2 linked regions of the Danio rerio genome follow. The main gene of each other region encodes a partner of the protein of the gene in region 2 in a complex. Links are inferred from orthologs where the notes say so. Each region holds a gene or a part of one and is shown on either strand. Other genes may lie near its edges.

What was found.
Region 1: the proteins of lzts1 (region 2) and asb7 are in contact, whole or in part, in a crystal structure (PDB 8Y1U), measured with the Homo sapiens proteins. The link is inferred for Danio rerio from reciprocal best matches to the Homo sapiens genes LZTS1 and ASB7. Residues at the interface, in NP_001349813.1 of Homo sapiens: Arg346, Glu348, Leu349, Leu352, Met353, Glu355, Gln356, Leu358, Leu359, Glu360, Lys362, Leu363, Arg364, Ser365, Tyr366; in NP_937886.1 of Homo sapiens: Asn46, Trp48, Ala56, Ile79, Phe82, Tyr87, Met90, His91, Asp116, Trp118, Val123, His126, Tyr127, Ser147, Lys149, Thr151, Gln155, Leu156, Ile159, Arg160, Phe182, Arg185, Tyr186, Ile189, Lys190, Arg210, Leu220, Leu223.

The regions. Positions count from the first base shown.
Region 1 is NC_133182.1:9,746,917-9,764,219, forward strand, and holds the start of asb7 (ankyrin repeat and SOCS box protein 7), read right to left. Parts: upstream 9,796-17,303; 5' UTR 9,740-9,795; intron 8,957-9,739; 5' UTR 8,880-8,956; intron 6,629-8,879; 5' UTR 6,586-6,628; coding exon 6,375-6,585; intron 1-6,374. Other genes in the region: lins1 (protein Lines homolog 1), read left to right, coding at 10,134-10,193, 14,838-15,113, 15,197-15,286. UniProt on the Homo sapiens protein: Probable substrate-recognition component of a SCF-like ECS (Elongin-Cullin-SOCS-box protein) E3 ubiquitin-protein ligase complex which mediates the ubiquitination and subsequent proteasomal degradation of target proteins.
Region 2 is NC_133183.1:47,936,558-47,953,877, reverse strand, and holds the start of lzts1 (leucine zipper putative tumor suppressor 1), read right to left. Parts: upstream 11,200-17,320; 5' UTR 11,051-11,199; intron 395-11,050; exon of another isoform or gene 1-394. UniProt on the Homo sapiens protein: Involved in the regulation of cell growth. May stabilize the active CDC2-cyclin B1 complex and thereby contribute to the regulation of the cell cycle and the prevention of uncontrolled cell proliferation. May act as a tumor suppressor.

The sequences.
Region 1 (17,303 bases), on a different chromosome or scaffold from region 2:
CAGGAGCCACGGGACCCGACCAGATTTCTTGCGGTGCGGGAATAAATGTCCAAATAAAGGGAGCGAGCATGCGCGCTTCCGCGTGGATGCTGTTTGTGTATGTGTGTGAACGAGAGAGCGTGGTGCTGTGTATCCCTTGTTTGGTTGTTTGGTTATGTGTGTGTGTGTGAGAATCAGAAAGAGCGTGGTGCTGTGTGTCTATGTGTGTGTGTGTTATACAGACAGCGCATAGATCTCTAATATGAACGAGACAATTTGCAAATAGTGCAACAAACAGGTGACCGCAAACCTAAGGTCGCTTACAGTGTTGTAAAATGCGTGGGTCTATTAAGGGGCGAGGCTGCAGTTTTCTGTGTCTGTGTGTGTGTGTGAAGCGGAGAGGGAGAGACAGAAAAGAGGAGCGGCTTTTCGCAATGGGGCTGTTTTCAGTGATGTTTCCTCTTTAGTGACTGATTTTGTTGTACCACACAGAGAGTAATAAATGATTGGGCCAAGTCTGAGCCTTACATCATAAATATTTTTATTATGCCTGGTACCACCGTATACTGAGGTAAAGTAGGGAGGAGGTTTGACGGTATCAAAATTTGGATACTGCCCAAGCCTAATATGTGATAATCTCTGTAGTTTATGCTTATTTTATACCTGTAAAATAGTTTTTAGAAAATATCTTGTGTGAACATTTTTAGAAATGTTGGCTTGTGTCTACTCAAGACTTGTTGAATTAGCACAAATGTAGCAACCACATTATCTTACCTCTGTAGCTAGAGATTGTTTCTGGACATGACACTCAAAATGTCTCTTGAATTACGATGAATGCAAGTGAAAGAGGTGAAGCTGAAACTGCAAGTTGCTTTTTGCCCCAAACAGAGAATGTCACGTGAAGGGATAGACATCGCAATTGTTTTTGAAATTTAAAACAGAATTATTATCTCAAATGTATTCAAGATATTAGTTAAACATATTTCCATGACTTTTTCAAAACATTTTGGGTTTATTTATTTTTCCAAAACTTTTCCAGGCCTGGAAAATGCCTTGCCAAAATTCCATAATTTTTCCAGGACCGTATGAACCCTGTATATTTTAAAATAGTGCTGGGCAAAAATGAATCTTGATTCAAAATAATTTATTTTTGACATATTATATGTGTGCATTATATATATTTATAGAATTTTTATCATATTCATATATACTTTGTCTAAATATAAATAAACTTTTTCTCATATACAGTTGAAGTTAAAATTATTAGCCCCCCTATTATTATTTCCCCAATTTCTGTTTAACGGAGAGAAGACGTTTTTCAACAAATTCCTTAACATGAACTTGAGTTTTCATAACTCATTTCTATTAACTGATTTATTTTAACTTTGCCATGATAATGGTACATAATAATTGACTAGATATTTTTCAAGACACTTCTATATAGCTTAAAGTGACATTTAAAGACTTCACTAGATTAATTAGGTTAACTAGGCAGGATAGGGTAATTAAGCAAGTTATTGTATAACTATAGTTTGTTCTGTAGATTATCGGGAAAAAAAATAGGGTCCCACTTTATATTAAATGGCCTTAACTAATATGTAATTACACAGGAATTGATAGTTTGTTACAATGTACTTATTGTGTAAATACATGTATTTACTGTGTACTTATGCTTGATTAAATACATGTATGTAATTACATCTGTAATTAAATTTTGTAATTACATTTGTAAATACACTGACCATCCCTTACACCTTAACCCACCCTTAAACCTACCCATACCACCAAACCTGTCCATAACCCAACCTCTATCCCAACTCAAAAGCACCACAAGTGTTCCCAAATACATTATAAACACAGTAAGTACATCGTATTTATTTATTTTTTTTACATAGTAGTTAAGGCCACTTAATATAAAGCGGGACCAAAAATAGCTTAAAGGGGCTAATAATTTTGACCTTAAATAGTTTTTTGAAAAATAAAATAAATAAATAAATAAGACTTTCTCCTAAAGAAAAAAAAAATATTACCAGACTTACTGTGAAAATTTCCTTGCTCTATTAACACCAATTGGGAAATATTTAAAAAAGAAAAAAAATTTCAAAAGGAGGACTAATAATTCTTCAACTGTATATGCATGCATGCATGCACGTGTGTATTTTTTATATACATAATAAACACACAGCACACACACATACATGTCAAAACAAACTTTTATTTTGGATGCGATTGATTTTTGCCCAGTACTATTTTAAAATATTAAATTTGACTTTTAACGCTTTTAAAATAATAATACTAAATAATTATTGTTATTTACTTTTGAATAATTTTTTGCCACATGACTAGACTGATTAAACTAATTTCATAGCTATATATAATTTAATAAATCGCTTATTTATTAGGGCTAAAAAGGGAAATGCTATGATTTATATGACTTTTTGGGGAAGGTGCAACCACATGAATATTCAGACATTGAATGTTTGGAAAAATAAATCAAATTCTAACATTACAAAATGTTATAATTGCTTTTATTCTTGATATTAAAGATGCAATAGGACAACTGCGATAATGTTAACCGGCAAGCATAAATCTCTGAAACACAGTCCCACCTCTGCCGTCCAAAGCCTTTAGTTGAAATCTGCATTTGCTGACAGTTTGAGCTACTTATTGGAATTATGGGAGATGTCAGCCAGAAACTATTTTAATTGGATGAACATTTTTTAGTTTTATGCCTTACCCAGAAAATAAAAATACATTTAAATACATTTAGATCATTTACTTTAATCAATACTATTGGAATGTGAAGAGACTTTCAACCAGCACAACAAAAAGTGTTGACAATCACCTACTGCACCTTTATTATAATATATTATTTTAAGTATATTTTCCAACAAAGTCAAATAATCAAAAGAAAAGCCAATATTACTTAATATTTGATAGATTTTTATACTTTTATGACAACAATTATAATTATTATTAATTATTTGTTTTTAATTATTTTTAAAATACAGCTAGATCATTAAATAGTTACGCATTTATTATTTTTATTTATTATTAGCTTGGCAATAAATCAGATAACATAGTAATATTTTTATGCTATCTATTTTCACCCTCTGATTTGAACTAAATGTATTCTGAATCTCAGCACAGAAAGCAATGCGACTGCACAGTGGATCATTCTTGACAAAAATAGTCTGTTTTATTGCGCCCCCTAATGTTACGCATGCATTACTACACTCATACATAAGCATTCACTCTCAGAAATAAAGGTACAAAAGCTGCCAATGCGGCAGTACCTTTTAGAAAGGAACACATTTGTACCTAAATGGTCTGCATTGACACCTTTAAAGGATATAGTAGTAGCTAAACAGTAGCTTTCTTATTTTTTAGGCACATATGTGTACCTTTAATGCACAAACATTAACTGTTGGCAGCGTTTGTCTATGAAAGTACCAGTTGAACACCAGTCCGGTATTTTAAAGCATAATAGATGACCAGAAGAGATGCGGAAGCTAATGACATAATAAATCACATCAGGCACAATAATAACCTGGATTATCAGAATTGTTCTACTGAGAAAAAGATCTTGATCATTTCAAAATCATAATTACACAATTACATGAGAAGATTCCCACCTACAATTAAGTAGTGCCTAATCAAAGGGTAATTGAGTTCACTAAAATGTATTTAAAAATTGAACTTGTTTTATTTTAGTTAGATGCCAAAGCAATATTTCTAAAATTCATTAAGTTTACCTTAAACGAGCAAAACTAAAACGAAAAGGCAGAGTGAAAAATAAAAACTGCACATAAAGAAATTAAATAAAATAAGAAGAAAACATTCACACCACCATCCCCTTCACATAAAAAATACAAAACATTAATATAAATATATACAGGGCTTGACGTTAACGCCCGTCACACAGGGCTACATCGTCAACGCTTGACAGAGGGCGTGTCGAAAGTTGGGGCTGATGCGATCGTCGTAGCCGCATCAGTCAATGAAATTAGTCAGCAATAGGCCACTGTCTGAGCTGGTGTATTTGCATACAGCAATCTGATTGGCTTTCCGTCGGCGCTTGAAAAGTTAAACAAGTCTCAACTTCTGCAGTGAGCAACGCCTCTGAAGCAGCGCTGACGGATCCACAATGCAGTTCGGCAACGCCTGACGTCACCCATTAAAAGCAATTGGGAAGAGTTGAAGCTGTGCCCCGTGTGAATGTGTGTGAACATCACTAGCCACTCTCCATTTTCACTAGCCACAATTTTATTGTTAGGAAAACATATTTTATATGCATAAATTTGACTTTAACATGCTAAAATGACTTGATTTTGGGTCATGTCCGCATGCATTTCACTTTGTGTGTTGTGCATGACCTTGCTCAATGTGCATGAGCATATGGGTTGTGGTTTCATAGCAATTAGTTTTTATTTCACATGACTTTTCAGGGTTCAAAATTAAGGATTTACCATTAATTATTTAATTTATCTCTGACCACACCAACAATAAATTATTATTTCTTAGCCATACATTTTAAATAATGTGTCAAAACAAGCAAAATATAGCTCTATACATACACTTTTTTATTAAACAAAACTTTTCTTTTTAAAAATGATATTGTCATGTATCTGAAACAATGCATAGTCTGTGTCCTGGTCAAAGGTCTCAGATCACCAGTTAACTAAACGGGAAGTCAATCTCCTATTAAAGCAATCTTATTGTACAAAATATAGCTAAACCATACATTAACAAAAACAACTAATGCCTAGTTCAGACTGCGTGATTTTAGCCCTGATTTTGGCTCGCCGATAGGTTTTGAGAAATCGTCGACAAATGCCTGAAATCACGGGCAAATCGCTGCTCGTGCACGTGAGTGACAATCACACAGTATGAACTTTCAAAGACGCGATCTGAGAGAATCACCGATGAGTCGCCGATGCCTGTGAGATATTTGTCATGCTAAATATCTGGAGCTGTCGGCAATTCAAATCATGCCGTGTGAATTGAGTTTTGACTGAAAATAACATCAGCGATCGCCTACAGCCAACGAGAGAGCAGCTTTCACTTGTGTGTGCGTGTGTGTATACCTGCTGCAGGCCAGCGGGAGGCTGGGGGAGAAGTTAAAAGCGCTCTTTTTCGGTTTATTTGTACCCATGAAATGGAGGAAAAACTAGTGGAGGTTTGACAGGACTCAGGAGCAACCGTGTCTGTTTGACATTTCATAGAGAAAGAAATTCGCTTAATATCAACTTAAGTTGAGGGGAAATGGCTAATTCCCTTTAAACCCAGATGAGCAAACATGTACATGTTCAACCCCATTAAAGGCTTCTTTCTCATTATGTACTTAATAACAAAAGATATACTACGTGTTTTTGGCTGTGAGACGTAGTTTGGACGAAGTTGTCGGCGATTCTCCCTATAGTAAAGTCATGCAATGTGAAAGCCCCTGTCGCCGATCCATCTTGCAGTGTAAACAAAGCAGCGACGAAACGCAAGCCCAGATAGTCATGCAGTGTGAAAACATCTGTGACACGACTACTTTGAAAATCATGCAGTCTGAACTCGGCATAAGCAAAAGAAAGCAGGTGGAAAACATAGCGCGTGTGATAATTAAAGGATGGTCGCGCTACGTTAGGCCTGTTAATAATCTATTCAAAGAATGGTGAAAGTGAATGGTGGAAGTGACCCCTGCTGCTTACAAAAACACATCTTTTTACAAATTAGGAGCTCTTGAAAGAAGGAGTACTGTGGGTGCACGAGCATCACCTTTTGTCAAGTCTATTTCAAAGAGAACCGATGAATTGCACCAATTGCATTTTCAGGAAAGGAAACGGGAGCACGCACGCTTTTTAAACAGCCAAGCGCATTACCTCACCTGTGCACGTAAGAGTTATCATCCTCTCATTCGCTATTCATCTGCTTTCTTTTGCTCACGCGAACACAATTACTTTTGTCAGTCATGCTGCTTCTCGATTTTAGGATCACATTTGCACGCATACTGGGCCATCTTTATTGTAGAACCCTGCTTTTAAGACAACTACAATTCAAAAATTATTTCCAACAAGTGGCTAGTCGGAGTGTCTGTCTAATCTACCACAGCTGAAATTTGGCGGGTTGGCGGGTGTTAATGAAAATGATTATTAAACATTATGTGTAGATTTTCAAAAATGTTTTTTTTTTATTGTTTATATATTTTATATATCTTTGTGGTCTTTATTGACTGTTGTTAAGGATGATCAAAATAACCGATTAACCGTTAACTGAAAAGTACGAAAAAGTACGAATAGGGACAATAACAAAATGCCTGAGTGACCCTAGGAAGACCTTATGATGATGAATGTTTGAATTAACATAGTTTTAAAAGTCACACTGAATGCTTTAATAAAATAATTTACCTCCATGCTCGAGGAAGACGCGCACGCAGCGCTCCTTGCCCTTTGCTGCAGAGAAGTGCAGCAGCGTCCAGCCGTTGGCGTCTCTGATCTTGGGCGAGTAGCCCTGCTCCAGCATCTTGCGGACGGTGTAAACATCGCCCGCCGCCACCGCTGCCTGGATCTGCAGCTCCTCCTGCAGCTCTGGGTTCCTTCTGCAGTGATGGTTCAGCATCCTGTCACATCGCGCAGTACTGCCGGCAGACGCTGCTGTGTCCCTGCACACACACGGACACGATAAAGTGAAAACAATAGGCAAGCTCATCACTGTGAATCAAGGGACGAATAATTAAACATGCAAAGCTATATTAAAGTGCAAAAAAACTGTTTTCAAAACTTTTAATTCACCATCTGAGTGATCACACAAACAGACAATCGTGTTTTTAGACTCAAGCTAACAATGAGTATTTTCTAATACTGATTAAATCAGTTTAGAATATTTTCTCATTCATTTGCCAACTATATTATAAATGAAGAAAACCAAACAGATAAATTTATTCTATATAAGGTTATATTGATTTCTAAATATTCTAATATTCTTTAAAATAAAATACAATAAAAAATTCAGAAATTATATATATATATATATATATATATATATATGTGTGTGTGTGTTGCAAAAAATATTACAATCTACAACATTTCAAACTAAATATTACATTTTTTTCTCTTGATTTTTGCTATTTTTGAACATTTTATTTAACATTTTGCCAAACATACTAATTTCTGAACCAATATTGTAAGTTATTTTGTTAAAATAGCTTAATGTATATGTACAAATATAATATTGTAAAGCATACACACACACACACACACACACACACACACACACACACACACACACACACACACACACACACACACACACACACACACACACACACACACACACACACACACACACACACACACACACACACACACACACAGTTAGCCAATAACTTGCCAAATTAACCAAACTTGGCTAGTTAAATTGCACTTAAACTGAATACTTGTATCTTGAAAAATATCTAATTAAATACTGTCATCATCAAGACAAATAAATTAGCTATCAAAACTATTGTTTAAAATTGTGTTGAAAAAAACTTGAATATAAGAACTTGGGAAACATCTGAAACAAAAAAAATAAATAAATAAAAATCACAGGAGGGCTAATAATTTGGTCTTCAAATGTATATATAACAAAATTCCAATCATCAGACAATAGCTCTGTAGATAAGAATTATAATTTATTATCATTAAATAAAATGTAGGGATTACTAATATATTACAAAAACAAATAATTTAATTTTTAATTCAATTGTATTACAAACTAGTTACATTTCACCATTGTTAAATTTATTATTTTAAAATTTGACAATATTCAAAATTATTTTACATTTATATGTAAAATATTTGGTCGTTCTTTATATCTAAGAGGACCACATGATGGTTTGACAGACTAAATATAAGCTAAAAACTTTTTATCTTAGATTTTTGAAAAAGGAAACCTCCATACTTCGCTTTTAAAATGATTTTGCATAGGGATGCACCGATCGATCTGCCGGAGATCGATCGATCGATCGGTACTCGCTGACCTGGTCGATCTCATGAACTAATCACAAGTGTTTATGTTAGTTGGACATGAGCAAAATATTTGAATGACCTTACATGCATTTAGGTCTTTTAACATCAAAGAACTGAAAGTTCTGTGTTTTTGACAATATTGCAAGTTTAATAAAACATGGCTGAAAGTATAACATACAATTAATAATAATAAAAAAAACATTAAAATATTTTTTGACATGAATATTTAATAATATAACATCTTGTAATTTACTTATTACAATCAACAGTACTTTATAGACATACTTCCTATTAGTAAAGTAGGATTTATAGGAAATAGATTTATAGGTGTGCATTTTAACTTCCTATGCATCAAATATACGCTTCAAACATTTCTTGATTGAGACATGTTGAATTTTTTTAAATCATTTGCAACGTTTCCAAACTGCATTGTTAGTTTTATAATTACTTATTATAATCTTATAATAAATACCTATTTATAGTGGTTATAAGAGACGTGTTTAGGGGGTTATATGCAGTATCCTTCATTTATTATATTGGCTAAGGAGAGATCTCCACTTAAGTGTTATACCTAGAGGGAAAAGAGGGTTTGAGGGTTTTATGCATTATAAAGCTTAACGCATCCGAATCGGTACTCATTATCAGCCAATCACCATGAAAAGGAATCAGTACTCGGTATCGGCTGCAAAAATCCTGATCAGAGCATCAGTAATCTTGCAATACTTTTGCAGGAAAAGTGAATAGTTAAAATATGGAAATACTGACATACTGGAAATATTATTCTCCGTACAAAGCCACTAAACCCTACACAAACAACATAAGACAACACATCGAAATGCCAGAAATTACTTTAAAATCTATTTAAAGCAAACAAAAAAAAAACCCAGCTATATGTGAAATTACCATTCATTAATGTCTTGTCGATCTGAAACAGCCTGTGTGTTCTGCATCCATATTCACATCCACTTCAGATCTCCATTCTAGACATGAAGAATGCAGAAACATCAGTATTTGAATGCACACACACATATAACTCAATACACACACACACACATCATTTTTACATGCATTAACGCGTATAAATGCAGATGCATCACATTCAATTAGCCAAATCTAAGCGACGACGTCTTATTTACACAATTATCCGTCACATTACATTGAACATTTCTCTAATACTAACCTCAGCATTCAATATTTACAACCACCCATCAGTTCTTAATGTTATTGTCTTTCATTTTGTGAAAAACGAGCATTTGAATACTTACATTCACCTTTAAACACACACAGATTCGCTAACATAAACGACACACACCACAAACGACCCGAGTTTCTCCATCACCACGGTAAATAAAAGGTAAACAATTGATGTTTGCAGCAGCTGCTCCACTGAGAACAATGAATCTGTTAGCTGGTGCGCTAAAGCAGCTAAAATGAGCCTCAAACAAACACCAAACCGGCTCTTTTAAAAGCCAGGAGTAACTAACTTAATCTGAACACCACTCAAACACATAACACGTTAACACTCATATCGAGGACTAAAGTGAGGCAGAATTCGCTAAACTCTCTGACTGACATGCACAGTTACTACATTAGCATTGTTAGCTTTTAGCCAGCGGTTATTGACCATTTTCAGAACAACACCGCTTTTAAAGTTACTCAAACTCTCTTAACCTTCACCTAGAGGAAACGTCAAACAATATCGGCTCAATTAAGGCCATAATGGCACAGGGGACAAATATAGAAAATATATATAACATACATACAGAGTACAAATACAGTCAGGTAGCCATGAACATCTCCAAGGCTTCAAACCGCAACGCCCAATCAGATTCGAGCTGTCAAATACGTCACGCCTACATCATAATGCTGTAAAAGCAGTACGCCGCTTGGCATATTTATTTTTTTGCGACAATTGTGGCTGAATAAAGGCAAACAGCAGTACATGTGGTTCATTTCCGCGGATATTATGATATCGTTCTACACAAATATAAAAATGAGCAGTTTTTATCACGTTACGAGTTCTGCTTATACGCAGCATCTTTCGTAAAGTCACGTAAGTAAGTCACTGGATTTCAGTACGATTTTATGTGTATTGTAACGTTATATCTCTAATTACACTTTAAGAATTTCTAAATATTACTAATATTTCTTTAGGAAATGAATATCTCAGAGACTGAATCAATTAAAAATTTTGATTGGAAATTCGCCATAAAGCTTGTAAGTGATACACTAAGCTATTTATTTCTCTCGTAATATCAACATATAAGATTTCACTTGATATAAGGAGCATTACTTTGGATCTAAATGAAAATATTTATTATTTTAAACTTAAAAATGTCATCAGTAGTTTACAGAACAAAACAAAAATGACCTTTTATGCAAACACTATCAACTATCGAATGTAACTCCAGCAAAATTGATGAATTATAAGTGTTGTTTATATATTAAACAGTCAAATTATTCATCTTTATTGTACTTTAAAAAGTGTTTACCATTACTATGTGATAAATATCAGTTCTGTTGTTGTTCATTATTATAAATAAATTATATAAACGTTGAGATGGTTGGAAAATCGCCATAAAGCTTGTAAGTGATGCACTAAGCTATTTATTTCTCTCGTAATATCAACATATAAGATTTCACTTGATATAAGGAGCATTACTTTGGATCTAAATGACAACATTTATTATTTTAAACTTAAAAATGTCATCAATAGTTAACAGAACGAAACAAAAAAGACTGTTTACGCAAACACTGTGAACTATCAATTGTAACTCCAGCAGAATTGAGTAATTATAAAGTGTGTTGTTTATGTATTAAACAATCAAAGTACATTAAATCCTTAATGCACTTTAAAAAAAGTTTTTTTGATTAATTTGTGAAAAAATATAAGTTCTCCCTACTCAAAAAACAGCCTAAACCAGCCTAAGCTGACTGAGGTAAAGCAGGTTTGATATTCGCACATTCGTTCATTTAATGGCCCATATATTGTTTACCATGCTAAGTTGAATATTGAGTCTGAAAAAGCATGCAGGGATGACTTTAAAGCAACATTAACACTATCTAATGGACATTTTCTGCTAATATGATTTCACTATTTAGAATTAGCAAAGAATACTCATCTGACATTATATTATTAAGTGGAAAGTCAGAATATAAAAAATATAAAACCAACTTTACCTCTGTCCTAAGCTGGTTGGCTGGTTTTTAGCTGGATGACCAGCCTGGTTTTAGAGGGATTTTGGCCACTTCCAGGCTGATTTCCGGCCATTTCCAGCCTGGTCTTAGCTGGTCAGGCTGGAAAATGACCAGCTAAAATCAGCTTGGCCAGCCTGGTTAAAGCTGGACATTGCTAGTTTTGGCTGGGCTCCCAGCCTGGCTAGGCTGGTCAAGATGGTTTTAGCTGGTCATCTCCCAGCCTCTCATAATATCAACATATACGATTTCACTTGATACAAGTACCTATTTTTTGTTCTAAATGACAACATTTCTTATTTTAAACTCAGAAAAGTCATTAGTAGTTTACAGAACAAAACAAAAATGACCTTTTACACAAACACTATCAACTTTAAATTGTAAATCCAGCAAAATTGAGGAATTAAAAGTGTGTTGTTGATGCATTAAACATATGAAACATTAGTGGGATGAAATGAAAATGTACTTACTATTTACTTATCCTCAAACAGATCCAAACATGTATGTTTTTCTTTCTTCTGTTGAACACAAAAGAAGATATTTTGAGGAATGTTGAAACCATGTAACCATTGACTTCCATCATAGTAAAAACAAATACTGTACTATGGAAGTCATGGGTTAACGGTTTTCAGCTTTCTTCACAATATCTTTTTATGTATTTAACGAAAAAAAGAAGTTTGAAATAAGTAAAAAATTAGTTAATGATGACTTTTCAAAGGCCCTCTAAAAGTTGAAATGATAAATAATTTGAAATAGTTTGAAACAAGTAAAGTGTGAGTAAATGATGCAGAATTTTTATTGTTTTTATTTTTGGGTGAACTATCCCTTTAAGACTTACTGATGATCACTCTTATGATTGTTTTTTCACAGTATGTCATGATGGAGGCTTTAGGACTGGACTTCCACACTTTTTTTTTTGTCTGATAAATCGGTTCTGAGATTTTAAAAATGTATTGTTATATTGAAATGAAAATTTATTTACTATTTACTCATCCTCAAGCGGTTCCAAACATTTTTGCGTCTCTTTATTCTGTTGATATTACGCCCCAAGTCTAGGGGGAAACAACATAGTCTCAATAAACGAAAAAGTCTGTGGGTGTTGGATTTTCAAAAAAAAAAAAAAAAAAAAAGTTAAATTGAAATTCAAAGCGTTTTTTGATTTTCGTTTTTAAATTTTAAAACGAAAATCAAAAAATAGCTCGTTTTTCTTTTTTCATGGTGAAAAACGGAAAACCTAAATTCAAAAATGATTTAATTTTCATTTTTTATTTCGAATAACAAAAAAAAAAATCACCAGAAAACTAAAACGGTCTTTTGATCATTGGATATTCATTTTAGAAACAGATATTGAAAATCAAAAAACGAGTCGTTTTTTTGATTTTCATTTTAAAATTAAAAAACTAAAATTTAAATACAATGCGTTTTTGATTTTCGTTTTTTAATAAAAAAAAAAAAAAAAACGACTCGTTTTTTGATTTTCAATATCTATTTCTAAAATGAATATCCAATGATCAAAAGATACACTGACCTGCAGGCCACCCCTACAAGCTTAAACTCTCAAAATGTTGCTAGTATACATGGGCATTTGTACAAGACTAAAGCTTGGCCGGAGGGGTAGGAAAATCCAGGAGCTCCCCGAACTCTGCTGGAAGTTCCCTTTTATAGACCTCCATGACCAGCAGCCAATCAGAGCCTGGACCATTTTAAAATCGGAGCCTATGGGGTAACAGGAAACAACACAAGGCAGGACAAAGAAAAAGACACATGTAATGCTCAGCAAAAATAAATAAACTAGTCGTAACAGTTAAACAAAAAAGAAGATATTTTGAAAAATGTTGGAACCCTGTAACCATTGACTTCCATCGTAGAAAAAACAAATACTATGGTTGTCAATAGTTACCTGTTTCCAGCTTTCTTCACAATATCTTCTTATGTATTTAACGGAAGAAAGAAATGCATAATGGTTAGAAACAAGTAATAAATGATGACTTTTTTGGGGGTTGAGCTATGCTTTTTAAGACTTATTTTTATATATTTGAACTATTTTCACCTGCTGTGATGAACAGCCACTTCTAAAAGGCACTCGAAAAGTTGAAATGATAAATATTTTGAAATGGTTTGAAAAGGTTTAAACAAGTAAATGATGACACAATTGTCATTTTTTGGATTAACTATCCATTTAAGACATGGGTCTCGAACTCAATTCCTGGAGGGTCACGACTCTGCACAGTTTTTGTTCCAATTCTAATCAAACACAGCTGATCCAATTAATGAAGGTGTTCAAGACTACTAGAGATTATTAAAGGGTCATGAAACACCAAGACACATTTTTTGAGCTGTTGACAGTCGTATATGTGTCCCACACTGCTAAAAACACTATTAGGACACTATATTTCACTAAAAAGTGTAAATTGGTTGTTTTTGCGTTATTTCAAGCAAATCTATACTTTTGGTTTGAAACAAATTTTTGAAGCTGAGTCACGGCCATGAGACAATAGCGTGTATTCCAGCGTGCAGACTGGACGTCTGTGCCAGAGTGTGTCTTATTACGTCTTACAGTGTGATGCATTAATGCATGAGTAAAGCTTGGTTCAAACCAATCAGCGCGCTCTATTGTGCAACTTCATTAATATTCATTACTGTCACAGTGTTTAGACGGCAGAGACGCCACGTTGTGTTGGCAAAACAAGCGTGAAGTGTTGCTTTTATAGTTTGCTGCAGTTAAGTTTTGTTTTCATTTTCTCTCTGTGAGAGCGCAGCTGGGGTCACGCGTGGATTAACAGTGTACGCGACGCTCAACAACAATAACTTACATGTCTAAGGAGGATTATTGTTTACCTGAGAGCTGTTCTCATCTGCAAACGCTGAGATCCGGATTCGCTTGTAGTCTCCTCTTAATAAAGATGCGGCTCTAGTTGCTGGTGATTGTCCTGTCTCTACAGATTTGGTAAGTGAGCGACCAGTGCTCTTTGTTTATTCAGTTTGTTCGTATCGAATTAAGTTAACTATTGCACCGAGTGTAAACATGTTAGCACCACAACCAAACTTTAACCTCGTGTAGGATTTTCACCACATTTTGTGACCGGAATAACACATGTGGCTTTCTGACACTACCTGCCTTTGCATCTAAGTTTCCGGGAAATGCGGTGGTTTTTTTTCTCTCATTCGCCGTGCGGTATCAAACATTGCATGAAAAATACACGCTTAGAGCAGTTCCTCGAATCAAATATCTCGTTTGTTGCGAGGGACATGAATGAATTCCCTGAATGAAAGAGCCAAACTGCAATTAAAGTCCACCATTTAATAATTTGGCAAATAATTCTACTACAGATGTCCATGTAAACACACTCCCTTTCTCCCCTGTGTGTGTGTGTTTTGACTCTAAAACTCAGCGTGCCCAAATAGACACTCCCACACCCTCCCACTTTAGTTCCTCCGACACTCCCCCCTAAACAGAGCTGGACACGCCCACTTTTCTGACTTTTTCCAAAGTAGAGGTGTGAAAACACCCTGCTGAAACGAGGGGGTTTCATGGCCCTTTAAGCAGGTGTGAGTTAAAGGTGGTTGGAGCTGAACTGTGCAGAGCTGTGGCCCTCCAGGAATAGAGTTTGAGACCACTGCTTTAAGACTCACTGATGATCACTCTCATGGATGCTTTATTCACAGTATGTCATTATGGAGGTCTCAGAGCTGGATTTCCACAGTGTTTTTGGCCTGTTGCATGCTGGATCGGCTCCAGGTTTGAGCAGTGAAGATCTCGCCAGCAGAATCTCCTCCTGTGTTCAGACTGTCACAAACACAGATGATACGTGTTTGAGTCTCAGTCTCATTGAGAGCGTCATTAGCAGACTCGCAGCACACAGTTTTACAGCGGACGCCGCTGTATATTATCAAGATGTCATCAGGAGATTGTTCACTGAGAGGAATCTCATGGCTAAACTGGTATGTTTTAAATGAAAGAAGTAATGATATTTTGATGATTATAAAATATAATGTATTTAATAAAGTCAAACCTATATCTGCAGGTTTCTCTCCTCAGCTGTCAGGATAAGCTCGTGTCTCATTTTTCTGCTAAGTGCATGTCTGTCTACGTCATCAAAGAGCTTGGCATTGCTGTGAGTATCACATACCTGTCAACCCTCCTATTTTTCCTGGGATTTTTACAGTTCTATCCCGCTATGATCATGTAATGATATTTTCCCGTATTTTTCCTGTATTTTCAGTGTTTCTCTGAAGGGTGGCAAATAAACATTAAAGAGCTGAGCCTCCCTATATGCAACCCATACCGCCGAACCGCAAGGGGTCGCCCTTTGCTCTTAAATGCGAGTCTGTTCTGTGCTTTCGCTTTGTTTAGGCATGAAAAGACTGTAGCCCCTTTCACACAGTGATACCGGTAAATTTCTGGAAAATTTCCGGAACAACTTTAACGGTATATTGAAAAAAGCGCTGTTTACACAGACAAGGACGTTACGGAAATTTTCCGGAAAAGAGCATTCTCACATCCATTCCAAAATACCGGTAAATTCTGACATCATTCACCACAAATAAGCTTTAAACGGCTGCGCTTGTATTTGTAAACATTTGACTAAATTACAAACTCTGTGGATGATCAATATTGTGAACAACTTTCGCTGGATCACTTTCGCATGTCGAGATGTTCATAGTATGTGCGTGTGCGGCGCTCATAGGCGCACGCAAAGCTTGAAGGTAAACAAACAACGGCTTATCATAAGCATTTCATCGATGATTATTTACACAGTTGGCATTAAGAAAAACATATAAACGTGATCTGACTAACTTCTAGCAGCTAAATGTGTCTGGAAAAATATTCAAAGGCTTTTATCCTCACAAACCGCGCGGACGTAAATGCGTCTGACTGTTGTGATTGGCTAAAGCAGGTGTCTCACGTCAGCACGTTCTAGACGTGCACGCGCTTATTACGGCAATCTTCCTTCTGCATTCACACAGCGCAGCATTGCGGCAAATTGCCGGTAATGTTACAACTTCTCTTTCCGGAAAATAGCCAGAACGAATTTACCGGTATTTTCAAAAAGGACCTGTTCACACATACAACCAAAGGTCTGTATGTGTGAAAGGGGCTTGTGAAATAAACATAAAAACGGCTCGATTCCCTTCCTTTTCACATCCCTTCCGTCTCCCGTTCATATGCAATCCTCAAAACAGTCACATAGAGGTGCATGACTGTCAACTGACGCTGTCACGTACAAAGAATGTTCAGATGGATCCAAGTGCAAGTGAAAAGAGTATTTATTGACACAGTCAAGATAAATGTAAAGAGTGTGTGCGGTGCTAGGACAAGGAGAAACCAGAGCAGGGATCAGACGGGAAAACAGGGTCCAGTGGTAACTCTGCACGGTCCTGAGCACAGACAAACGAACACATAAGCACTTGTAAGGAACTGACAAGGAAACACAGAAAATGTCGCATATATATAGACGTGATAATGAGCCTCAGCTGGCGAACTAATCAAACCAACTGAGTGCCGTCATAACACGTGACCAAAACAAATACACATGGGCAACAAAACAAACTCACATGATCAAACAGACACTCCGGAAGAGCGCACAAACCTGCAACCGTGACAGACGCGCTCCATTGGTAAACAGACGCTGTTTCCTTAACGGATTCTGTCCTCGTGATTTGAAGCTGCTGAAAAAAAAAAATCCCAGAAAAATCCAGCTTAAACCAGCCTAGGCTGGTTTTAGCTGGTTGACATCTCCCAGCCTGACCAGCTTAGACCAGGCTGGAAATGGCTGGAAACCAGCCTGGAAATGGCCAAAACCACTCTAAAACCAGCCTGGTCGACAAGCTAAAACCAGCCAACCAGCCTAGACTGGTTAAAGCTGTTTTTTTCAGTAGGGATAGCTATTAATTTTAATAATTGATTTGCTGCTGATGTTTGCTATTTATTTTTTCTTTTGTAAATAATAATAATAATAAAATGTATTACTGACCATTAACTGTTTATTTACAATAAAACGGCGGTCGGGGGCATCCCTTATTATGGTGGGCATATCATTTATTTTCACATGCCAATGTTGACAGGTATGGAGTATCAGTGTTAAACTTTCATGGGCTTTATGCACAGGGAATTCTTAGGCACGTCTAGTG
Region 2 (17,320 bases):
GCCATCTTCCTGCCTAAACCACGGCAAATGAAGCTCTGCACAAGACTTTTGGCCAGCGGAGAAATTAAAATGGTCGTGCCCAACTGAGTCTGGTTCCCTCAAGGTTTTTTTTCTTCACTCCCATCAGGTGAAGTTTTTTTTCCCTCTCCGCTGTGGCCACTGCCTCGCATGGTTCAGGATTGGTAGAGCTACGCATCGATGAATTGGCTCTTCAGTGTTTGAACTCTCAGTAATGATTAAAACAACACTGAACTGAGCTAAACTAAACTGAACTGAACTTAAACACTAAAACCTGAACCACACTGTTCCAGTTACTATGACCATTTATGTGAAGCTGCTTTGACACAATCTACATTGTAAAAGCGCTATACAAATAAAGCTGAATTGAACATTTTCAGTTTTTCACAAATGTAACGTTACTTGTATTTATAAGCAATTGTAGCTCTGCCTAGGGCTGTGGGATTATTCAAAAATGAATCGCAATTGTGATTTGAAACGTTACGATTAGCTAATCGCAAGAGGCTGCGATATGAAATATATATTATAATTATTATTTCATTTCCCCACCCAGAGCAAATGCACTGCCATTTGTGTGTGATAGCCAATTGAGTGAGCACACTTTCGTGCTACCCAATCAGAATTGCACAACCAAATTCTGCTGCTTCAGAAGCATTAATAGACGTATTAATATCAAAGAAAAACAGGACATCGGTAATATGGGAATATTTTTGTTTCAGAGTCACAGACACTGAACAAAAACAGGTCATTTGTAAGATATGTTGCCATAGCATGAGGAAAAACAGCAACCAGCATCTAAAAGTATGAGGAGTGTCTTGCTTAAAAGTCAATTGAAAGTATTGCCAGTGACACTCAATCTTGTAGCAAGCAGCAGCAAAGTACAATTTCAGAGTTGATTTAGCCATGTTAGTTGGCTGAGTGTTCTACATTTTTATTATAATTATTTTATATTATTAAAATGTATATTATTTACTTTATTATTATTTATTTAGTTTTTATAAAAAGTTACACTATCTCTCTAATTTGAGTTCAACATGTTTACAGAAAAGTAATTTCTATTTGTGTTTACTGTTTGCTCCAAGAGAAAATTGAGAATATATGTTTAGCTTAAATTTGAAGTTAACAAATTTCATTAAATGTTTAACTTAATATCGTTTCAGTTCCTTTTTTTAACTAACACTCACTGCATTTTAGCAGTAAGAAGCTACGACAAAAATCAAATCATTAAATCACAAATCGAATCGAAATCTCAGTATCTGTCAAAAAATTGACCAACAAAAAAATCGAACCACAGCCCAAGCTCTGTCCTCTTTTGAAAATAGCATAATCTCATTTGAAATTTAAAGCAAAAATGGCACAGTTATGATCAAAGCCTAAAAGGGTCAGTTTCAAATTAAGTTATTAAACACTATTTGAGTGGTATATTGAGCGGAAACTTCACACACACACACTCTAGGGCAACTCGTTCCAGCCCTCCAAATAGTGTGACCAAGACATCAAAAATAAATTTAGTTCAGTCGAAAAACGTATATGCTGTTGTGTCATCACTTATATTGCAAGTCATATCTCTCCGCTTATGCTTTTTATGAACTGGCCCCCATAACAAACTTATAGAAAAGCACTGCTCTACGGACATAAGAGACCTAATCTTGTAAAAATGGCACCTTTAAAAACTCTGCTGGTGACAAAACATGCATTGGCGTTAACATCCCAAAACACCTTTTAATTCTCCTCTTGAAACAATGTGACTGCATGACATCCCATAAAGCACCAATATTCCACACCCGAGCATATCTCTCAACCCACACAGCATTTCATAAGCATACATGAGTAATTTCTGCAGGCAGGAAAAAACATGTCTCTCGTTCTCTCCTCGCAGGATTAACTGTAAAGACATAAAAGGGCAGCTCTAATGCCTCTGAATGTTTGCAATATTCAATGGTGCCAAACTGGAACAGAGTCTTTTATGAGATCATAAACCGTCTGTTTACTAGACACAAAACTGTCCTGGGTGCCATCTTGAGTTATTGATCTTTTTTTTTTTGGGAGGGAAACAGGTGTTTTCAAGAGCTTTTTGCTGAAGATGTCTGGCATGAGGGTCGGGGAGTGAAACGTCTTGGACTTAAATGGAAAATAACTGACTCTGTGTTCAGACGGGATGATAAACTTGTCTGTTCAGGGTGAAGTTGAACACCAACTGTTCCTCCCACATGCAGAGACTGTGTGTATATGTGTATGTAAGAGAGAGAGTGAGGGACTGAGAAAGAGAGTAAAAAAAAGGTCAGGATAAAGTCTATAATGTTTGTGTGCACTTGATATAATAAGGGCCATAAATATCATGAATTGTTCAGTCATAAATATCACATTTTTGTGGAGTTGCACAAAAGATATTTCACAATCTGAACTAACCCTGGCCTTTCACAAGGTCAACTTATCTGCTGTTGAAGTTGACTTATTGACGCAAATGTTTTTTTCCACCCTGCATGTTGCTCACAATACATGACTTTGATTTGGAAAACAATCATTATCATGATTAAATTATAAGATTTAAGGATGTTCATCGAAATTTAGAGGATGTTTAACCGAAATGATGCATTTGTAACCGGTTAATGGTATCAGTTAAAAGATTTAAAAATTCTATTTTATAATTTTTTTAGAGAGGCGCACCATTTGAATGGTTTACTAACAGCCCGAGTGTTTGTGCGCCTTGCATTTTGGCCTTGTGTGCTATGTGCTTGCAGTTAAAATAAAAGTCAGCCGAGCGGTAAAGGAGCATTACGTCAGTCGCATCTTTTTCATTCTTCGATCAAATGAAAACAGAGGCATTGAGTTGACAGCAGTGTTTGTGTTGTCAAGACAACTACGGATAACTTTTGAAGATGGTGGAGAGACTTGTGGTCGCTGTTTCAAGTTATCCAGAGCTGTATGACTTTACAAATCTTGAATATCACAATATTATTAAATATTACTATTATAACAACATGGACAGCAACACTCACACACAATACGGGTCAGCTGATTTAGTTATTTCCTAGGAACATAAAAAGAGCACCGCTCTTTTTTTTTTTTCGTCAACATAAAAGGTGGTGTGGTGCCCCTAACGCCCGATTCACACAGCGCTTCCGTGTCATCTCTTGACAGAGGGTGTGTCTGAAGTTGGGGCTGACGCGATCGTCATAGCAGCGTCAGCTTATGAAATTAGTCAGCAATCGGCTACTGTCTGAGCTGGTGTAGTTGTATACAGCGATCTGATTGGCTGACACTTCCGTTTGCACTTAAAGTTGAGAGTTCTAACTTCTGCAGAGAACAATATCACTGAAGCAGCGCCGACTGATCCACAATGCAGTTCGGCAACGCCTGACATCACCCATTCAAAGTGAATGGGAAGCGTTGATGCTGTTGACCCGTGTGAATGGATGGTAAATGTGCAACTGGAACACATATTTGTAAACTCGTGGGACGGTGACATGTGCAACCACTCATGACTAGACATATTTTGTCAAAGACGCAAAAAGAAAGAAGGTTATTTCTTGTCACAGTTAGACACAGACGAGTTAACACAAACCAGCACTGATGCTGATCGCTTCGGTCCTAGATCCGCATCATAAACTCAACAAATAGGCTGTTGATGATTCAGTGTACAACAATCCATTTAAAAAAATAATAAATCCTACATAATCTATAAATCAAACAAGTACAAAGAATGTCTTGATTTTTGCATAATATTTTACTCCGCACCAAACTAAGGTCTTTATTTTATGGCTTCTAAAACATGTATACAAATTAATGCAATATTATACGTAAACAACAAAACATATGTGATAGTAGTCTATACTTTACTAAAAGTCAACATACAGTATGAGCCTTAAGGTGAATTGACAGTTTGTCATTGTCTTTCATCACACGCACCATGCACACATTAACCGTGAGTGAGATGGAAATAAGTCATAACCATAAGACATACTTATAATTTCTATACAAAAATGTTGACAGATGTTTTGTGATATAATAATAATAATAATAATAATAATAATAATAATAATAATAAATAATAGTAATAATAATAATAATAATACATTTGAGGTAGCATTATATATTTATTTTTTTGACCAAAAAAAAACATGATTGGAAAAAACAGCCTATTCCTGTTATTAAAGAATTCAGTCTGTTTTCATTTTGTAATCTAAATTTGTCATTTAAGTGAAAAATATCTAAAGGAGGACTTTATTCTATTCTTTTTTCTATGCTGTTGGAAACTTTACAGGTTCGTAAAAAGATGTTCTGTTCTGTACGCTGTTGTTCTACTATTAAAATAAATCAGTATTTTAAATTGCAATATTTATTGTAACACAAAATAGATACATCCAGACTGGACTGTTTTAGCAACTGGCTCAATGAAAAGAAGGACTAAGCAAAATTGTTTCTGCTTTATAATTAATGTTCTCAACTCACAGCAATGCAACTTTACAAAAACTTTACAAAATTCACAGTGCAATTGTTTGCATTCAGTACTTTATTGTTATTATTATTTTCCATTTTCCATATTTGCAATGCCTGTATGTTGGGATTTATTTGCAGTCCACTTGGAATCCAACTTGCAAATCAATTTTGTCTTTATTGGCAATGATTGTTTCAAAATTCAAATGGCATTAACATGCCTGTGTTTTTATTTCTGTAATAAAGAAACACAGAAAGAAACTGTCAAGCCAGGATCTTGATGGTTTATGTTGTTTACATGAAGAAATCTGCAGTGTTACAAGTTAAACAAAAATTCTCATAAACAATTAAATTTTGAATTTAAATAGTTTTTGTCTAACGTTTACATTAATTTTACATTTTGAATAGCCTTGTTTTTTTTTTTGTTTTTTTTACATTTTGAATAGCCAAAATTATATATATATACTTCATTTATAGAAGTTTTTATAAAAATATAACAGTATATAGTGTACATCATGTATATATGTTAAGAAAATTATCTTGGTGTTATTAATTGATATTAACTAGAACATGCACCAAAACACTAGCAGACAATACAGCAATTATACATCACCATAAAAAATAAAAAAATAAATAAAAAAAACAGACTAATGGAATAATAAGGAAAGCAAGAAAAATGGGTAACACTTTATAATAACTACACACTATTAATCATTTACTAAGCATTAGCATCTAGTGAGTTCATTATCTGTTAAGCATTAACTCTACATTAATAAACGTTAATAAACAGTTTATGACTGTAGCTACAAATGCTTTATTCTTGTCTTACAAAAACATTTATAATGTGCTTAATAATTGTACTTTCATTCTTTGTTAATGATTTATTTTTAATTTCTATAAATTAAGAATTGCATCATTTACAAACCAGTTGTATTTAAGAGTAGTTGAGGGGTTTTAGGATCATTCAGAATGAGTTAGTAAATGATTAATAAACTATTGAAATCAACATTTATATATCTTATTATTTAGGCATATACTAATAGTTAACTAATACGTTAAAAATGCTTTATTAACTCAACTTCATGCAGTTTTGTGACCTAATCTAAAGTGAGGACTATTTCTGCTTTACAAATCCCTTATAAATGACCAATAAAGGCTCAGAATCAAATGAACATCAATCCTTGCAATCTTATTTAAAAAGTAAAATTACTGTAAAGTTTAAACATTGCTGAATAATAGGAGTGTCAAAATACAACATAAAACTGGATAAAACATCAACGACACTATAATAATATAACAATATAGTAAGATGCAATGTTTAAACTCAACAGTGATTTTATTTCAGGTAAGGTTGCAAAGATTTATTTTTAAATAAAACAGTTTCATGTGTGTATCTTTAAATGAATAGGAATGAATAACGTCATTTTTCCTGTTTAAAATTTAATTGAGCCTTTATTTGTCATTTATAAGGGATTTATAAAGCAGAAATAGTCCTTACTTTAGATTAGGTCACAAAACTAGATGAAGTTGAGTTAATAAAGCATTTATTAACATATATAGTACTTATTAATGTATGCCTGATTAATAAGATACAGTATATGAAGGTTGATTTCAATAGTTTATTAATCATTTACTCACTCATTCTGAATGTTCCTTAAAACTCTCAGCTACTCTTAAATACAAATAATTTGTAAATAATGCGATACTTAATTTAGTAATGAAAAATAAAATCATTAACAAAGTATGAAAGTACAATTATTAAACACAATATATTGGTGCTTATAAGTCAATAATAGAGCATTTGTAGCTGCAGTTGTAAACTGCTTACTAACGTTTATTAATGTAGAGTTAATGCTTAACAGATAATGAACTCACTTGATGCCAATGCTTAATAAATGATTTATAGTGTGTAGTTATTATAAAGTGTTACCGAAAAAGGTTACCAACAAAAAATAATTACAGAAGCATTATTAACCTATACATCTAAGGAAGGGGCCCCATATTTTGTCATACAACTTCTGTTTGCCAAATCTAGAGAAACAAAACCTTTCCAGCTTGAGGACAGAAACCATTTAAACTAACCATTTAAAACATTTTGGAGGTGTCGTTGATTTCACTCCATCAGAATCACTCTATTGGTCATCACCATATCATACCAAACATAAGGGAGAGTTGTTTATGCTTAGGCGAAATTAGAGCCTGGTCTGAATATCCAAATAGTGCTAATTCCGCATCAGTTTTAAAGTCCATTTCAACAGCCTGGGAATAAAGTCTGAAGATACTTTTCCAAAACTCAGATACTTCTGGACAGCACCAGAATATATGACCATAAGTCCCGACTGCGCCATTGCATTTATCACACAGAGGAGAGATAGAAGGATACAGCTTGTTAAGTTTAGCTTTAGTATAGTGTAATCTATGCATCACTTTAAATTGTATGAGCTCTAGTCTAACATTTATAGAATTAAATAATATTTTAATATTAATCTTGTAACAGTTTTCCTGTTACTATTTGAAAATTCTACCTGTAGTAGCTATCTCTCCCATTAGGGGGGGATCTAGGTAGTAAGTCTCCAATCTGCTTAAAAGGAGGTAGAGTAGAAGCAGTAGGGAGGAAGTATGGTGCCTAGCACATGGAAAGGCTTCTTCACTGCGCTGTTGTTTGTTGATGCCCTTATTTGAGAACATTTTTGTTCTTATACCTCAGATAGGGTTTTTGGTATACACTTTAAGTCATCAAAACAGGACCTGGACAATCCATCCTCATATCCGCAGACTTTTCCCATCCACTTTCCTACTGATTCCGTGGCCAACCATTGATGAACTGTTTGCTGAAATTGATCTTTCATGTGATTCACTTAAGGACTGATGGTATCTTTTTTGCTTGCTATAAATACTGGATTCAATGAGAAAGACACTTATCAAATGCTTATTTCTGTCGAAAAGTGATCATTAATGAGTTGACTGCTGATCATTGCATATCCCCAGTGTGTAACAATAATTATTCATACCTGTTGTCATATACATTTATTCTAAATACACATGAATCTCTGAAAGTTGTTTTTGTGGTCTCTCAATTTCTTTAATTTAGCTTAAAAAAAAAGTAGTTGTTACAATCTGACTAGTTAACAGTTAATATTCGATTTACAAGTGGCGGTTGTTGGTTGGCAAAATTTTACCGAAATGAGCATCCCTAATAAGATTTTATCTGACATTTATTATTTAAGTATAATAAAGTATTTTTTTTTTATTTAGAAAACAGGATCCAGTTGAACTATTTAAGATTTTCTTTTCAAGAATGAACTTTCTTCTGTAGTATTTATTTGCTTTTTATTAATATCAAGATAATTACATTGCCATTTGCTTACAGTTACTGTAAAATACAATTTAATACTTACATTTTACTATAATGGTTTTAAATTAGCTTATTAAAATCTATATATTTAATTTAGTTTTAAGTGAATTCATGTATTTTTTAATAAATTTTTAACTATTCATAGTAGTTTTTCAACCTCTGTTAATCGACAGTATAACACTTAATTAGGTTGTTTTTTGAGTTACATTTAATTATTTTTTTTCAATTTAATGTTTAATTAATGATTGGTTTTATTTAATGTTTATTTGGAAACTAAATATTTTTACAGTGAGAACAACGTTTAAGAACAGTTTTCAACTTATGCTGAATCTCACAAAAAATTGCAAGAAATGTATAGATCATTTCATATATATATATATATATATATATATATATATTTTCTTTTCTTTTTTTAAATAATAATGCATTTATTTTAAAACGTTGTGTTCATTTTTTTGTATAATAACAAAATAATATATATGAACTGTCATATCACTGACCAAAATAAAAGTATAAATTGTGATCACTAAAGCAGTAGAGTATGATTTATTCATTCTGCATGCTTAATGCTGAGAACTAAAGTGCTGGAGATACATATTACTGCATCTGCTATGCGAAATTTACAACTTAACTGTACAGTGTCTTGTTGTAGCTACATTAGCCTAAGTGAAACAAGCAAATATTGTCATAAAATGTCACACATACTGTAGTCATAAGGCATGGAGGGCCATCAATATTTCTGGATTCTGACCACTCTTTTTTTACACTGTAAAACCTAATAGTTTACAAATTTTTGTATAATGCATATTTTTACAGAACTTTTACAATTTTTACATTTTGATACTACAAGAACATGCTTGAAAACTACAACTTAAAACATTTAACCTAGCTTTTTTATGATGTGTTGGATAGTGGCTTTTATTTTGAAGCTTCCAAAAGCGCATAAATGGGTTGTATAACCAACCCATTAGCTGCCAGGGTGTTAATGTGTGTCTTATGAAGCAGATCAATGTGTTTTTGCAACACATTTAAGGTTTGTAAAATTATGAATAAGCATGATATCAATCCAACAGCTTTGATAGGGATACAGCTGCAATTAGAAGTTACCGTGAAGTATTGATATTATTTATTAAATTACGCATTATTATATTTTATTAGCGTCTACCCCTACCTCAACCCTAAACCCGACCTCACGGTTAAAATGTTATTTGTTGTGCTGTGTCACAAAAAAGGAATGCTACATTGATGTGAGTATCCTTAGCTGTAGCCCATCTAGACTTCATCGCGCTGCAGAAGAGGGTGAGGTCTAGATGGAATACAGCTATGGATACTCGCGTAACTAAAGCATAATCTAATAAAATAAAATTTGATCAGATTATGCAATATTAATTAGTGTATTCTCAGCTATATCTAATAATCGCATAATAAAAATGCCACTTGTTAACATCAGATCGCAGCTATATGCCCTTTAGCTACAGCAGTGGTGACGGTTATCCATCATATAACAAATAATACTCTCATTATTAAGCTGTTAAAAAGACAAAATATACATTCCTCATGAAGAAACAAAATACAATATATACATAGATCATCGGGGCTGGTGGGTCACGTGATAAACTTGACAGGTCACCATGGGAACTTTTCAAGCTATTTTTAAATTAAAGTGACAGTCACCAAAACTGCACATTAGGATCAAAGTCTAAAAGGGGTAGATTTCAAGAGTTATAAAATATAGTTTGTAGGATATTTTGAGCTGAAACTTCAAGTACACACTCTAGGAACATAGGAGACTTATTTTACATCTTGTAAAAAGGAGCATCTTGTACAGCAGGTCCCCTTTATTTACAATTGAAGCTTACACTTACATACATTTATATATCTGAACAGTCATTTCACTGACCTAAATAACTGAATAAACTGTGCTTGGAAAAGCTGTAGTTAATGATTTATTCATTCTGTGTTTGATTCTGAGAACCGAAGCGCTGCGGATATCCATATTTCAGTTTAATATACAGTAATCAAATTTTGAGTTTACATAACTTTTTTTCTGTTAAGTACAGTGAACAGTTTTACAGTTACACCATATCTTTGCAATGTCTGAAAAATTGTTTTTGCAGAAATCCTATTAAATGACACCAAATCTGTGTGTCTGTTTTCCTGCCTTTCCAGAGCTCAAAGCCATTGTCAAAGTGAAAATAAGTTCCTGAAGTATTAGTTCCTGTGTTCCCACATATCTTCAGTATACTTCTGCATTATCTGAACTTGTCTTAGCATGCAAGAGGCTGTTGTGTTCAAATCGTTTTTTCTCTGCAGTTTCTCTGAAACACCAGGGGCATGATGAGACCTGCTCATTTGGTTCTTTTATGTCATGCTATCAGCATCATCGCTGAGATGTAACCTTCTAATTAATATTTACCGAAGTTAAATGATCTTGACGTTTAGTTTAGGGTGTCCTTACCCATGTTTTATTATGCAAGTTTGTATTGTGATATTATTATTATTTTACAGAAGAACAGTATGCAGTATAAAGAGATAACAATGGCAGACATAATATGGTTAACTGGGACAAAACTAAGTATGTTATGCAAGTATACGTTTCTAGAATAATTCATTGCAGTCTCTGTGGTCTGTGATTATATTCATTTCCAGCAGTGGTTATCATTGTTTTGTCTTCTAGGGTTTTGCTAGTTAGATTCAAGTTTTGTTTATAGCAAAGAACATTTGATATTTGATAATTGAACGTATTAGGATTGTTATATATATATATATATATATATATATATATATATATATATATATATATATATATATATATATATATATATATATATATATTTTTTTTTTTTTTTTAATTTTTTTTTTAAATAAGCTAATTTTTTCCTTGACAACACTTAACTTTTGTGTGTGTGTGTTTGTGTTTATAGTTTTATTTCAGGTATCTCTCTTATGAAGGACATTGTAATGACTACTGTAAAATTAGGAAAAATCTGGAGAAATATTATTAATACCACTTATTGAATAATAAATCCTGACAAAACATCAAATTATTTTTAAATAATTCTAAAAAACATAATAATTATAATAATATTAATAATAATAATAATTATAATAATAATATTTTTTAATTAGTATTATTATTATTTTGTTGTTATTGCTCCTACTACAGAAAAAACTATGAAAACGGCATAATTTCAATCGCAAACAAATCATGCCCAAACTGTAAAATGAACAGTGACTCACCAGGTTTCATGTTCTTTGAAGTCTGTGTTTATCTCTGGATAAGTATAGTATAGTCTAAATGCTGTCTTCTTGTGTTGAGAGTGGGAGAATATAAACGCTCTGTCTCTCTGGTCGGTCTCTCCTCTCTCGATCTCCTCTTATTCTACACTGTGGGTTGAGTCTCCAACCTGCACAAACCCTCCCCCTCCCTGCTTCCTCTATTTTGGTTTTTCCCTCCCTCTTCGGCTTATCTCTTTAAGTTCCTCAAGTTCCTGTGTGCAAGAGTTCCTTTGATATCTGCAATGAATCTTTTATACATTTGCTGAAATGCTTTATTCATGAATTCAAACTGGTCACAACTGGTCAAAAAGTTTGGAATTGGTATTTATTTATTTTTTTCTTTTCTTTTCTTTTTTTTTTGTAAGTCAAGTTTATTACGTTTTTTTTCTCACCACACATGCATTTATTTGATTAGAAATACAATAGAAAAAAAAATAAAAGTTGAATTTACCCCAGACTTCATTTTCATGTGATCCTTCAGCAATGGTTATGCTGATTTGCTGTTCTGTTATGATCAATTATTATCAGTGTTGGGGTAACACATTGAAGCAAAGCAAGTTACATAATAATATCACTTTTTTAAGTAACAAGTAAAGTAACGCATTACTTTTAAGAAATAAATATTAATATTTGAATTGCTTTTTTTGAAATATCATGAGTTACTGTTTAGTTTAATCAATTAGCTTTAAAAAAAATAAATTGCTGAATTAAAATTTAAGTAGTCACAATAAGTCATGCAGTCAATGAGAGTAGATATTTATTAATCTGAACGCATCAAAGAAAAGGAAAAAGGGATTGTCTCAATGGACAGTGGTTTTACTTAAGACAAACTGTACAAAAGCAGCAAGCGCATTGCTTTAAACTTTCAATAATCTGTATGGCATGTATAGCTTCTCACATAAAATTATAATTTACATACTTTTTGGACCAGCTGATCATCTTCTTCTGATCTGATCTGATCGACCCATTAAAACACTTAGCAGACTGTCGTGTTATTTTGCCTAATTAATTGACGAAAGCTGTGATCTTTGATGCTCTGAAGGTGATTCATTTTCGAACAGACAGGCCCATGTGACATAATTTGGTTCTTTTCTTTATTGACATTGGGCTGACCCAATCCCAAACTTCCATTTTGGGCTCTGTGTAAGCATGCAACGTCTGTGTATTTGTCAAAATAGTCGAGAGTTACCCCTGCTTCTCACCCCACACACGCATAAGGAGAGCAGAAGCGGCAAATAGGCAATTGCGTCTGTAGTGCGCAGTGGATCGACAACTATTCCACAGAACATTATATATTCCTGTCTATTCTATATAGTTACCTATCCGTCAATGAAAATTTACTATTTTTTTTTACTTTTTATCTGCACCAAGGCCCGCGGCAACTTCCTCCTATGCTGTTTCTATAACCTGTCAGTCTCTATTTTACAAATTATATATATATATCATAAAGAATGTATGCTTCTCAAGCTGAGGAGTGTCATTCATATATTTTAAGATGCATTCGGTCAGAAGACAATTGCATGAAATATCATGACATTTTGTTTTTGTTTGTCAGCATGATGTAGGCCTATAAAGTTACAATAATATTTATACAATATGGTTATAATGATATTTATACATGACCAAACTAGTGTGCAACTTATGCAAAACTAATACTTTTTTAACATATAGTTTTGTAGTTCAGGCCCAAACAAATATTTGTTGCATTTTTTGCAAATAATTGTTTAAGTTCATTTAATTGACTATTTACAATCTTTAAGCTATGTTTTATGTTTCATTGTTGAGTCAAACATTTTTTAAGGTTCTGTGATACAACTTTAATTTTATTTTGTTAATTAACATTATTTGTGCGCATCTGCAAGCCGTTTTTGTTATGTTCATTATTTAATATAGGCTTCCTCAAAACACACAGGCACACATAAGATGGAGTTCAAGTGTGGTTTATAATTGTATAATAATAATAATATTATTATATAATAATAATAAGTTATATTTTAAAAGTTTTTAATTAGTCAATTCTCATAATTTCCTATTTATGGGTTTTGTGCTTTTATAGAATAGGAGTTGGTAAACCTATTTAAGGTCGTGCACAGATGAGGAGCAATTTGATTGAATGTAGTGGGCCGCTCTGTCCCAAAATGCCAGGGCCGATTTATTTATTTATTTATTTATTTATTTATTTATTTATTTATTTATTTATTTATTTATTTATTTATACATTTGACATTATTATTGATCATACATTTATACATTAATACATTATTATTGATAATAACAACAATAACAATAATAATAATAATAATAATAATAATAATAATAATAATAATAATAATAATAATAATATTAACAATAATGTCGCCATAAGATTAATAATAATAAAATATTATTATTATTATTATTAATAATAATAATAATAATAAATATACTATATAATAAAATAATAATACAACAACAATAATAATAATAATAATAATAGTAAAAATAATAATATTAATAATAATAAAGAATAATTAAATACTACTACTACTACTACTAAGAATAATAATAATAGTAGTAGTAATAATAATATTATTAATAATAATAAATAAATAATAATAATAACAACAATAATAATAATAATAATAATAATAATAATAATAATAATAATAATAATAATAATAATAATACATTTGAGGTAGCATCATATATTTATTGTTTTGACAAAAAAAAAAAAAAAAACATGATTGGAAAAAACAGCCTATTCCTGTTATTAAAGAATTCAGTCTGTTTTCATTTTGTAATCTAAATTTGTCATTTAAGTGAAAAATATCTAAAGGAGGACTATAATAATAATAATATTAGAATATAATACTAAAAATAATATTAATATTATGTAATAATAATAAAAATGTTGTTATAATAATAATAATAATATTAATATTAATAATAATAATAATAATAATAATAATAATAATAATAATAGTAATTATAAGAACAGCAATATTAATAATAATAAAACAAAAATGAAAATATGAATAATAATAATAATAATAATATCAATATTTATTATTATTATTATTATTATTATTATTATTGTTATTATTATTATTAAAAAATAAAAAATAGGCTTTTTGAGAACAAAGTCTTAGTAATCCCAATTTTTACTAGAAGTGTACTCATCTGCGATTAATAATATTTTACGGCATGCAATGTTTATGGCTCTGCTACTGTATATGGTGATTATATTTAAAACAATAAAGCATGTTATCGTGAAGCTCAGGACTGCCAGCATGACTCAGGTTATTTGGGATCACATCCGCTCTGTATAAATGCAGTGACAGTTAAGAGGGAAATGATCCTCTAGGCGTCCCGAGGGCCGTTTGATGGAGCTGTTCCGGCTCTTGAGTCCAGCGCCATCTATTACAGCTGTGACCTCTGAAGGATGCGAGTGCTTGAGAGGAGACTCTTTCCAAAACATCTGTGTCCTTCAAGGAGGTTTGCTTCTTTAAAGAGATAGTTTAACCCAGTGGTTCTCAAACTGTGGTACGTGTACCACTAGTGGTACGCAGGCTTCCTTCTAGTGGTACGTGAAGGAATGAAATATGTCATGTACATGCTACACATATTTCAAAATTTATTAAAAATGATGTATATAATATGCCATATGGCATATAGCCTATATTTTTGAGGTAATCTGCCACGTTTTTTTAACTGTGCAGGGTTGTAGCTGCTTTACTGGGCCTACTACGCTACTGTATTTCAATATTGTTCATTTTGGTGGTACTTGGAGAGACTATTTTTTTCTGAGGTGGTACTTGATGAAAAAAGTTTGAGACCCACTGGTTTAACCAAAAAGGATAATCAGCTGGTATGGAACACCAAAAAATGAAAAATGCTGTCATTGTTTACTCATTCAGGGGCTTAACAGGGGAAGTTGCTTCTGGGGCTCTGGCCCTTAATGCTTTTTTTCAGAAGCCCCAGATATATTGTGTTAAAGGTTTGTTAAAAAAACATCTTTCTTAAACACATTTTTTTGCAGAAAAATGTATAATGGTTAAAAGAACTGAACATTTATTTTGTATTTATTCACCCGTCAGTGCTTACAAACTTTTGAGTTTCTTTATTCTGTTGAATATAGAAATGAAATATTTTGAAGAAAGCCAAAAACCTGTAACCATTGACTTCTATAGAATTATTTTTTTCTACTATGGAAGTCAAAGGTTGCAGGTTACAATTTTCTTCAGAATAACGTATTTTGTGTTTAACCAAAGAAAGAAAGTCAAATAAGTTTTGAAATGAGTTTTTTTTTAATATCATGCTGTATTAGTCAATAATATATATTTAAAGGGATAGTTCAGGTATTTACTAACTATTTACTATTAAAGTACTTCCAAACCTTTTTTATTATTATTATTATTATTATTATTATTCCAAAGTTTTTTTTTTCTGTTAATCACAAAAGACAATATTCGGAAGAAAGATGAAAACCTATAAACATTAACTTCCATTCTAGGAAAAACTAATTCTATGGAAGTCAATAGTTTCAGGATCCCAACGTTTTTCAAAACATCTTCTTTTTTTGTTTAAAAGAATAAAGAAACTCAAATGGATTTAAAACAGTTATTCCCTATGCTGTTCATATTAATTTCTCATTTTAACCTGTTTGAATACTTATAAAATGCTGGTTTGTTTCTAGTCAAATTAAACCTGGGGGTTAATTTTTTAATATTGTTTTTTAAGTGAGTATTTGGGTTTGTCCATATTTTATCCACATCTGTCTTGAATCAGACAAGCATTTTTAGAGAGTATGCTGTCATCTGACACTCACTTTATTTAAATTATTTGGTAATTAATAACATTTACGTTATGTAATATTTCACATATTTTAAAAAGTTTCATACCGAACATACTGTATGTTGTCATATGCTGACTTGATACATAAGACGTAATATTGTCCAGGGTTGTCATTTTAATGCATTCTGTGACCTATTTTGTTTGATTTTATACATAAATGATTATAAATGTATTTGACCAATTCCAGCATTATGGATGTGACATTTGCAGTAAAAACTCAACACATAAATCCGTATAGAAAGTATGTTAACATTAAATTGAACCATCTGTTTATATTTTCCAGAACAACTAATTACAGAGTTATGGGACCAGAAAAACATCAATCTGTAAACATGTTTTGTACTTTAAATGTGGAAAATAAACATATGGATGTGACAAAAAAAGTCTGCGGGTTTACAGTATACAACATACTCTGTAGAAATTCTGTGAATTAAACTGCACAACCCAAAAGACATAATGATAATCAAAAGGATATAAGTTGGCTCTCTATAAAACAAAAATGATTGGTTTTATTCAATTTAATATTTTCATATTTATGAGGTAAAAACTGTTGTTATGGATGTGACATCTCTCAGTTATGGATGTGACGGATGTGAAATTGCCACTTGTGTGACTTTGGTAAATTAAATAAAATAGATTGAAAACATTGACAGATGCATTTTTGCGTATTTCTAAAGTACTGTGAAACACTTGCTTACATAAAAAACCCAGAAATGGTTTCCAAATTTTATAGGCAACTTACTTTTTTTCATTGCTAGGTTGACATCTGCTCATTTCTATTAGAATTTCTGAAATTTAAAGGGCACCTATGGTGAAAAATCTACTTATCAAGCTGTTTAGTCAGACATATACTTGAAGTCAGAATTATTGACCCCCCTTTGAATTTTTTTTTTCTTTTTTAAATATTTCCCAAATGATGTTTGACAGAGCAAGGACATTTTCACAGTATGTCTGATATTTTTTCTTCTGAAGAAAGTCTTTATTTTATTATGTCTAGAATAAAAGCAGTTTTTAATTTATGAACAATTTTAAGATCAAAATTATTAGCCCCTTTAATAATTTTTTTTGTTTGACTGTTTACAGAACAAACAATTATCATCCAACAACTTGCCTAATTACTCTAACCTGCCTAGTTAACCTAATTAACCTAGTTAAGCCTTTAAATGTCACTTTAAGCTGTATAGAAGTGTCTTAAAAATTATCTAGTGAAATATTACCATCGACCAATAGACGAATTACCAACCTACATCATACATGACATCACATGGGTCCCCGGTTGCAAAAAAAAAGACCGGCTGCAATAGCAAACATGTCATGTTGTGCTGTAGGATGCCAAACTTGAAAGTCCAAAAATAGAAAACATAACTTTTACTGTACGCCACACTGCTTTAATGCTAA